2 linked regions of the Tamandua tetradactyla genome follow. The main gene of each other region encodes a partner of the protein of the gene in region 2 in a complex. Links are inferred from orthologs where the notes say so. Each region holds a gene or a part of one and is shown on either strand. Other genes may lie near its edges.

Region 1 (3,902 bases), on a different chromosome or scaffold from region 2:
CTGAGAGGGTAGTAATGGACTAGTGGCAAAACCAAGGTAAAGTGAGACCAATCTGAGTTTTCAATCCAGCTCCAGTTGTTATTAACTGTGTGACCTTGAAAAAATTACCTAACCCCTTTGAGCGTATCTCTTCATCTCATCACTCCACCGTAAATCCATGAAGGCTCATCACTGTATCCCTAGTGCCAGGAAAGTAGAAGCCACTCTAAATCTGAATAGATGCAAATTGAGAATATCTACCAACTTTGCCATAATTGTAAATGAGGGACTATAAAAAGCACCTGGTATGATAGTAGGGCACTATTTAATCCCTTTCCTGCTGAATAGTAATATTTACTATTTCTAAAAGCAGAAAGCAGCTAGAGATTGAGAAAAAGGACACTTCCCTCTGGATCAATGTCATACATGACAAAGGAAATCAGACTAAGAAAAATATAATTTTTGGCTTCTAATTACATTACATAAATGCTTTTGCCTGTAATTCTATAAGTCTAATATCTAAAAGGACCACCCTACCCGGGTAATCATAATATTGAAAGACTGCCTAGATGGAAGCCTACACCCTTATAAAGATCTCTCAAAAAACTTCTATGAGATTTTCCACCATTAAAGTGCAAAATGCCTATCAAGATACTCTTCATCAAGAACCCTTACTTCTACACCACAGGATTTTGCAAAAAGTCCCTGACAATCACTGGGCCATTCAGTCTTCAATATGAAACATTTTTTAAATGTCAGGGTCAGAATACTGGCAAACCATTTCTCACCATCTTCACTAATACAAAAGCATACTGACAAGTGATTCTGAAGCCCTAATAATGTGTCACTCATTCTGTGTCCCTATTTTTTTTTCATATTTAACAGTGCATAACTTCACTTACCTCTTGTCTGAAACCACTATGTAATACATTGCATGGCACCAAACAGCTACCATATCTTAATCTGGTTGTGGTTAAGGTTTGGTGACTCGGTATCAAACAAGCATTTGCAAAATGCATACAAGGACCCTAGGACTGCAGGTCATTTTATATGTTTCTTCACAAACACCAGGAAGTAATCAACTATCCTATGGCTCATCAGCACCATGTTATGGTTTCATCATCATTATTATTATTTCTTATGAGCTTTCCTCCAGAAGGAGCCACACCTAAATATATTATTTCAATTTATGTAACAATGAAATATTTTCCCCCTAAAGAACTAGCAGTACTTACACCGTAGAGTCTATGCTTTTGAATACTCTACAGGCAAGACACTAGGGTCCTGCCGATAGAAGGACCCTAGTCTCTTGCCTGTAGCTCTCAGAGCCCTAGACTACCACAGAAACCTTATGATAAACTTGGCAACTTAAGCCACTTTCACGGTGACAAAAGGAGAGGAGGTAAAACATTGGGGGTAAAAACTGGAAAAGAAAAAAGGACACCCTTTCTAAAAAAAATCCCAAATTATAGTGTCAAGGGAACCGACTCCTATATCCTTTCCGTCTACCCAAAGATCCAGGGAAGGGATGCTCCTGAAAAGGCGTCCCTAACCCAGAACACCAGAATTCACTATACCAAGCACAAAGACCAAAGAGAAGGGTCCTCCAGGATGTCTGCCTTACTCTGGGCAAAAGCAGGCACATTTTTACACGCTCCCTCATCTGCCACCCACCTCCCCAGACCTTCTCACACCTTTCATACACTCACTCTGTCTCCACATTCATATTCTCACACACACACTCTTCTCCCACACGCCTGCTCGCATTCACCTCTTCACTTACTCTCCCCCAGTCTCTCCATCCACATTTTCTCCCAGCTACTCTCCCTACACTCACTCACTCTCCCCTACTCTCACATTCTTTCCCGTCACTGTTTCCCCCCACACCCTCCAGAGATACTCACATTCTCCCCATCCACACTTTCTGCCCCCACTCACACACTCATTCTTCCCCCGCCACTCACACTCCCTTCCACACTCCCTCTCCTCACACTTCCCACATACACAATATTCTTCCACACACTCACAAACACCCACAAACACACTCTCACTCACTTACCCACCTCGTTCTCCACGCTTCTCGGTCGCGCTACCCCCACCCCCGACCCGGCCCTCCTTCCGGGGACGTGTCTCAGGCCTGCACTAATGGCTGCGGCGCCTCCCGCCCCCCCCTTCCCCGAGGCCCGGGAGCCCGCCCGGGGGCCGCCCGTGAGGGGAGCACTCACGCCGGCGAGCTGGGAACTGGGCATTGAAGTCTGGCGGCGGCGGGAGCGAGGAGGCGCCTCTCTCCTCAGTCACCTCGGCGGCGGCGGCGGCGGCGGCGGCGGTAGCGGTGGCGGCGACGACTCCCCCCCAGCCTCGGCGCGCGACACCCGGCCCGGCCCGGCGGCGGCGGCGGCGGCGCGTGTCCACGAGTCCGTCTTGCTGCTGCTGCTGCGGCTACCGCTGCGTCTCCTGCTGCCGCCTCTGCCCTCGCTGCCGCCGCTGTCCTATGGCGTCGCCTTGTGCCTTGCCCGGCCGCCGCTACCGCTCCAGCCGCTACCGGAGAGACGACGGTTACAGACCAGCGGATTGCGCCGTCGCCACCACCGCTGCGCGCGCAGCCGGAACCAGCTCCCGCCGCCGCCCCTCAGGGGGCGCTGCGGGGCGCGGCGCGCGCACCCGTCGGCCCGCCCTCAGCGCCTGCTGACTGGCTGACGCACCGGCTCGCGCTGACCCACTGCCCTCGGCGCCTCCCCTGCTCCTCCTCGTGGTTCGTTCCGCTCTACACTCCTGACTGCGGAAGGCGCGTCCATATGACCCGGGAGGGGGGAACAGAATGTGGTCTGAGTCACTCGCCCACACTGCGCTCCGCCCATCCGCACCTGAGTAGGGGCAAGGGCTGTGACCGCAGTGTGACCCACGAAGGTGAAGGACTTTTTCTCACCGCTTTGTCCTAGGACCAGATGCTATTGGAACTAAATGGCGACCGAGCCCTTTGCTCAGGGATTTCCAACTCAGAAGAGCGAACCAGAGCAGCTCAGTTTTAGGCTGCCCTTTTCGAGGCCCCAAACAGATGGCTTGCATGTCTTTGCGAAGGATATTTCTGTGCCCCTACCTCACCCCGCCACACACACGCGCGCGCGCGCGCAAATCAGACCTAAGAACGGTCCCTGACTTACCGAAATTCGAACTTCCCTAATGTGGGTTCTTGAACAAGCCATTTACTCTTTCTGCGTATTCGTAACAATTAAATGGGATAAATATAACCAGCTACCTTATGGGGCTCTTTTCACGTGTCAGTATTATAATGTATGAAAAATGCCTGATAAGAGGAGACCCTCAATTTCAAGGTTTCTAAACTAATGTCCCTTTTAACACAGGGAATTATTCTAGAGACTACAGACTCTGGCCCAAGGCTTTGACCTCTTGTATTTGGAAGTGGGCCAGAAATTCTTTGCCAGACCCCGCGGACTTGCGTTTTAGTTGGAAAACGTCACTGGTGAGTTGGGAGACTGGGCCACTGCCAGATGGCAGTCAGAAAGAAGCACAGGAGGCTGGTTTGGCAGGAAGTAGAAAGCCTTCTCCAGGGGTGATTGGGAGGTGGGGGTGGGGTGAGGGTTGGCCTTAGATGGGGTGAATTCTGGAAGTGGCTCCTGCCCCTAGGGCTAATGTCTTTGCCACCTCACCACCACATAAATGTACATCCAGCCCTAGGAGGAGAGTCATCATTAGGCCTTTCCCACAAGGTAGACTTGGGGCATTGCTCCTGACCAGGAGGCTTCCGTTAGGGATCAGCAGTAAAAAGAAAGGTCTTATGACTCAGCCACATCAAGCTACAGCACAGAACCCAGGATGTTCACCACCAGCAGGTGGCCAAGGAGGAGGGTATTGCACCGCAGGCTGGCAGGGCTGTGTGGGAGTTGAGAGGTCTTGACAAGCAA
Region 2 (3,902 bases):
GCCAGCGGCACCTTCTCACCACACCTCAAAACGCGACCAAGGGCTCCGCACTGTCCCCCAAAAAGAGGACGCCTGGAGGCCTGACTGGAAGAAAAGGCTCCCGCGCCTCCAGGTTTGGCGGCACCTCTCGGCTGACCTGCACCAGCCACGCTCGCTGACAGATGAGGGCCGCAGGGCTGCCTCCGGCCCGATGGGACGTACCGGCTGCGACTCCGCCGGCACCGCCGCCACCCCGTGGCCACCCCACGGTCACAGCCTGCACCGCCGAGGCGGCCCTCCTCGCACCTGCTGCTCCTCCTCCCCGCCACCAGGCAGCCAGGAGGGTCCCCGGGACAGGCCGGTCAGGGCTCCCCAGGCCTGGGGCTGGCATGGGCAGTTTCTGCCGAACCCCTGCGCAGCCGGCCTCCTGCCCAACCAGGCTGCGGCAGTGGGGGCACCCACCACTGCGCTCAGACACCCGTGCCACACTGGCCTGGCCCGGCCCAGGGTCCTGACAGCGGGACCTGACGGTGGGGAGGGCGGCAGAGGAGCCCACAGCACTCCCCGTCACCCGCACGGGAAAGGGGCACAAAGATGCAGAATTAAGGGGAAGCTAGAAAGACCTGACCCCGAGAAAAGCAGAGGCTGAAAAAAAAAGTCAAGGGAGGGACATTAAGTCTGTCCAGTGACAGGCGCCTCTGGAGAAATCAGAGTATAAGTCCCCCCCCCCAAAATCTTCTGAAAAAAAAAACAGTATTTAAAGTAAGTCTCTTCACTGCACTTGGAAGAGCCGCAGTGACCTGAGCAGTGCCCCGGAGACAGCACGGTGGGGCTAACTCTGTCCCCCAGGCTCATGGGGAGACCATTCTTCAATAGGTCCTTTTTGGTTTCCATCCCGGAGTACCCGGAGACCGGGCACGCAGAAGTGACCCGGAGGGGATGATGTGGGGAGACGGATGGACACATCTGGGCCCGGAGGCTAACCCGGAGGGGGTGCGGTTGTCCCCAGCAGGCCAAGGGGCCCCAAAACCAACCTGCAAAGGGCCCAGGGAGCGCGCAGCGCGGTGCCCTCCCGGGGTGGAGTCCTTTCGGCGCGCACCCGAGCCCCGCCGCCGCGGCCCCTACCTCGCTTGAACTCCTCCAGGACGGCATCCAGCTTGGTGTCGTTGAACACGAAGTGGAGGGGGTGGTTGTAGAAGCGGGTGATGGTGCTGAGCGGCGTGCGGTCTTCGGGGTCCACGAAGGCCAGGTCCTTGAGGTAGAGCATGTCCACGATGTTGGAGCGCTCCTCCTCGTACACGGGGATGCGCGTGTGGCCGCTCTGCATGATGCTGGCCATGACGCCGAAGTCCAGCACGGCGCTGGCGTCCAGCATAAAGCAGTCCTCGAGTGGCGTGAGCACGTCCTCCACCGTCCGGAAGCGTAGCGCGCCCCGGCCCAGCTCGCCGCAGGGGTCGCCGCCGCCCCGCGCCAGCTCCAGCACGCGCTCCCGCAGCCGCCCGGGCCGCGCCGCCCGCTCCAGCAGCTGGCCCACGGGCAGCGCCACGGGCAGGGTGAGCAGGACGGCCACGCGGCTGAGGCCCAGCGCGAGCGGGGCCAGCGCCAGCGTCCAGCGCCCGCTCACGGCGGCCGGCAGCACCTCGGCCAGCAGGAACACGAGCCCCGCGCTGCCCAGCACAGCGGGCACCGAGCGCTGCCCCGCCGCGCGGTACAGCAGCACCGCGAGCGCGGCCTGCGCCAGGCTGGCCAGCAGCAGCAGCGCGCCCAGGGCGCAGCCGGCCCAGCGCCGCGCGGGCTCCAGGCGCCGCGCCGCCGCCCGCTCGGCCTCAGAGCCGCTCTCGCGCAGCACCTGCACCTCGGCCGGCGCCAGCGCCAGCGCGCTTAGCTGCAGGCCCCGCGCCAGCGCCGCCAGCGCCAGCAGCCCGGCCGCCCCCAGGCCTAGCGCCCAGGCCGGCGCCGCCTCCTCGGCCGCCGCGCCGCCCGGACCCCCGCGCGCGGCCAGCGGCGCCCACTGCGGGCGCCCGGCCCCGGCGCGCAGGCACAGCAGCGCCCGCCAGCCGCCCGCTCCGGCCAAGGGGGCCGCGGCGCCGTCCGCGCAGCCCGCGCCCGCAGGGGCCACCCAGCGCCAGGAGCTGTTGGCGAAGCCCGAGCCCCGGAGGCGCAGGCGGAAGGTGGCCTCCGGCGGCCCCCGTGCCGGCCCCGCGCCCTCGGCTCCGTCCTCCTCCAGGCAAAAGCTCAGCACCCGCGGGCCCGGCGCCTCCTCCCCGGCGGCGGGGCCCAGGCAGAGCGCGGCCAGCAGCCAGCCCAGGCGGCCCGCAGCCGCCGCCGCCGCCATCGCCGGCCGCCCCTCCCCACCGCGCGCGCAGCCTATCCCGCTCGCCCCGCGCCGCCGCCGACCGCCGGCCAATCGCCGCCGGACGGCGCGGCCCCTCCGCCAATGGGCAGAAGGTGGGGGCGGGCCCAGGGACGGGCTAGGCTGCGCCGGGACGTAAACAGGCCGAGGCTGCGGCCGCGGGCGCCGGGTGGGCCCGGGGCTGAGAACGTGGGGCAGAGGTGGGCGCGGGACCGAGGACGCGGGGACTTGGGTGGGCCACACTGCGCCGGGTCGGAAATAGACCTCGAGCGCAGGGACCGGGAGGGCGCGGGGGATCGAGGGCGCCGTTGTGGGCGCGGGAGGCGCCGGGACGGGGGTGGGCGCCGGGGCTCGGGGACGCGGGACCGGGTTGGGCGCGGGGGCTCGAGGACGCGGGACCCGGGTGGGCGCGAGCGGCGCCCCCACGCGCCACCTGAGTGTGACTCGCGGCCTGAGCGCGTCTGGCCTCGCGGGCAGAGACTCCAGGGCAGTGTTCTCAGGTCAGGGCCTTAGACCCTCGAGGGCTTTCAACGCTGCGTGGGAGGCTGAGGCAGGGCTCGGCGTCCGTCCCGACCTCCGCGCCGGGAAAGCCGCAGGTGGAGGCCGCGCCCTGCAGCCCCCTCGCGCCGCCGCGTTGCTGGCACTGATGGGAGCCTTGGGCTCCTCCGGACCTGCCCACGTGCCCGGAGGGGCGACACGCTGGGCTTGGAAACGCCACTTGTGGCCGCTCGCTGTCCAGCTATTTAGGAAGTCTGATGTCCCCTACAACAGGGGCTGACCTCCACCCATCACAAATGACCGTTATGCAAGCGGAAGGAGGAGCACTGGAGGTGCACACCAAGTGATTTTTGTATATTTTTTACACTTTTATGCGTTTTCAAGTTTTCTAACATTAGAGTAGACTTTGATGAGATTTAGCGTCTGTGTCATTTGAAAGGAACTTCAAGGGTTCTGTAGAAACACCCTCTCCTACATCATGAAACTAACAACATTTTTTTAAGTATAGGTTCTGTGACCACAGTTGCATGAAATACATCTGCATAGAAGGAAATGTGCAGAAGGAGTAAACCCGTGGTGCAATTTTGAATACCCAAAGGAAAAAAAAAATTGTGAAAAGCTTTTTAAAGGTGGTAATAGTGGCTCTTCTACATTGTAAGCGCAGAGCTGTGACCCTGACAGCTGTATCTCAGGATTCTTCAAGTTCATCCTTTCGTGCACAAAAGTTTTTAATTTTCATGAAATCCATGTTATCTATTTTGTTGTTGTTGTTACTTGTGCTTTTGGTGTAAAATCTAAAAATCCGTTTCCTCCTACAAGGCCCTGGAGATATTCCCCGGTTTTCTTCTAAGAGTTTTATAGTGCTCACTCTTCTATTTAGGTCTGATCCATTTTGAATTAATTTTTGTATATGGTGAGAGGTGGAGTTCCAGTTGCCCCAGCACCATTTGCAGAAGAGATTATTCTTTCCCCGTTGAATGGACTTGGTACCCTGTCGAAAATCAACTGGCTACAGGTGTGTGGATTCTAACCTGGCCCCTCAATAGAACTGTTCTGTATGTCTGTCTTTATG

Evidence for each region.
Region 1: the proteins of CNNM3 (region 2) and PTP4A2 are in contact, whole or in part, in a crystal structure (PDB 5K25), measured with the Homo sapiens proteins. The link is inferred for Tamandua tetradactyla from reciprocal best matches to the Homo sapiens genes CNNM3 and PTP4A2. Residues at the interface, in NP_060093.3 of Homo sapiens: Leu390, His391, Phe392, Val393, Phe394, Asp396, Thr397, Glu405, Ala414, Gln417, Val419, Glu424, Gly425, Asp426, Pro427, Phe428, Tyr429; in NP_001356788.1 of Homo sapiens: Met1, Asn2, Arg3, Pro4, Asp69, Gly70, Cys101, Ala103, Leu105, Gly106, Arg107, Arg134, Arg135, Gly136, Ala137, Phe138, Asn139, Lys141, Gln142.

Annotation. Positions count from the first base shown.
Region 1 is NC_135328.1:193,881,477-193,885,378, reverse strand, and holds the start of PTP4A2 (protein tyrosine phosphatase type IVA 2), read right to left. Parts: upstream 2,598-3,902; 5' UTR 2,205-2,597; intron 1,829-2,204; exon of another isoform or gene 1-1,828.
Region 2 is NC_135343.1:2,804,885-2,808,786, reverse strand, and holds the start of CNNM3 (metal transporter CNNM3), read right to left. Parts: upstream 2,315-3,902; coding exon 1,105-2,314; intron 1-1,104. UniProt on the Homo sapiens protein: Probable metal transporter.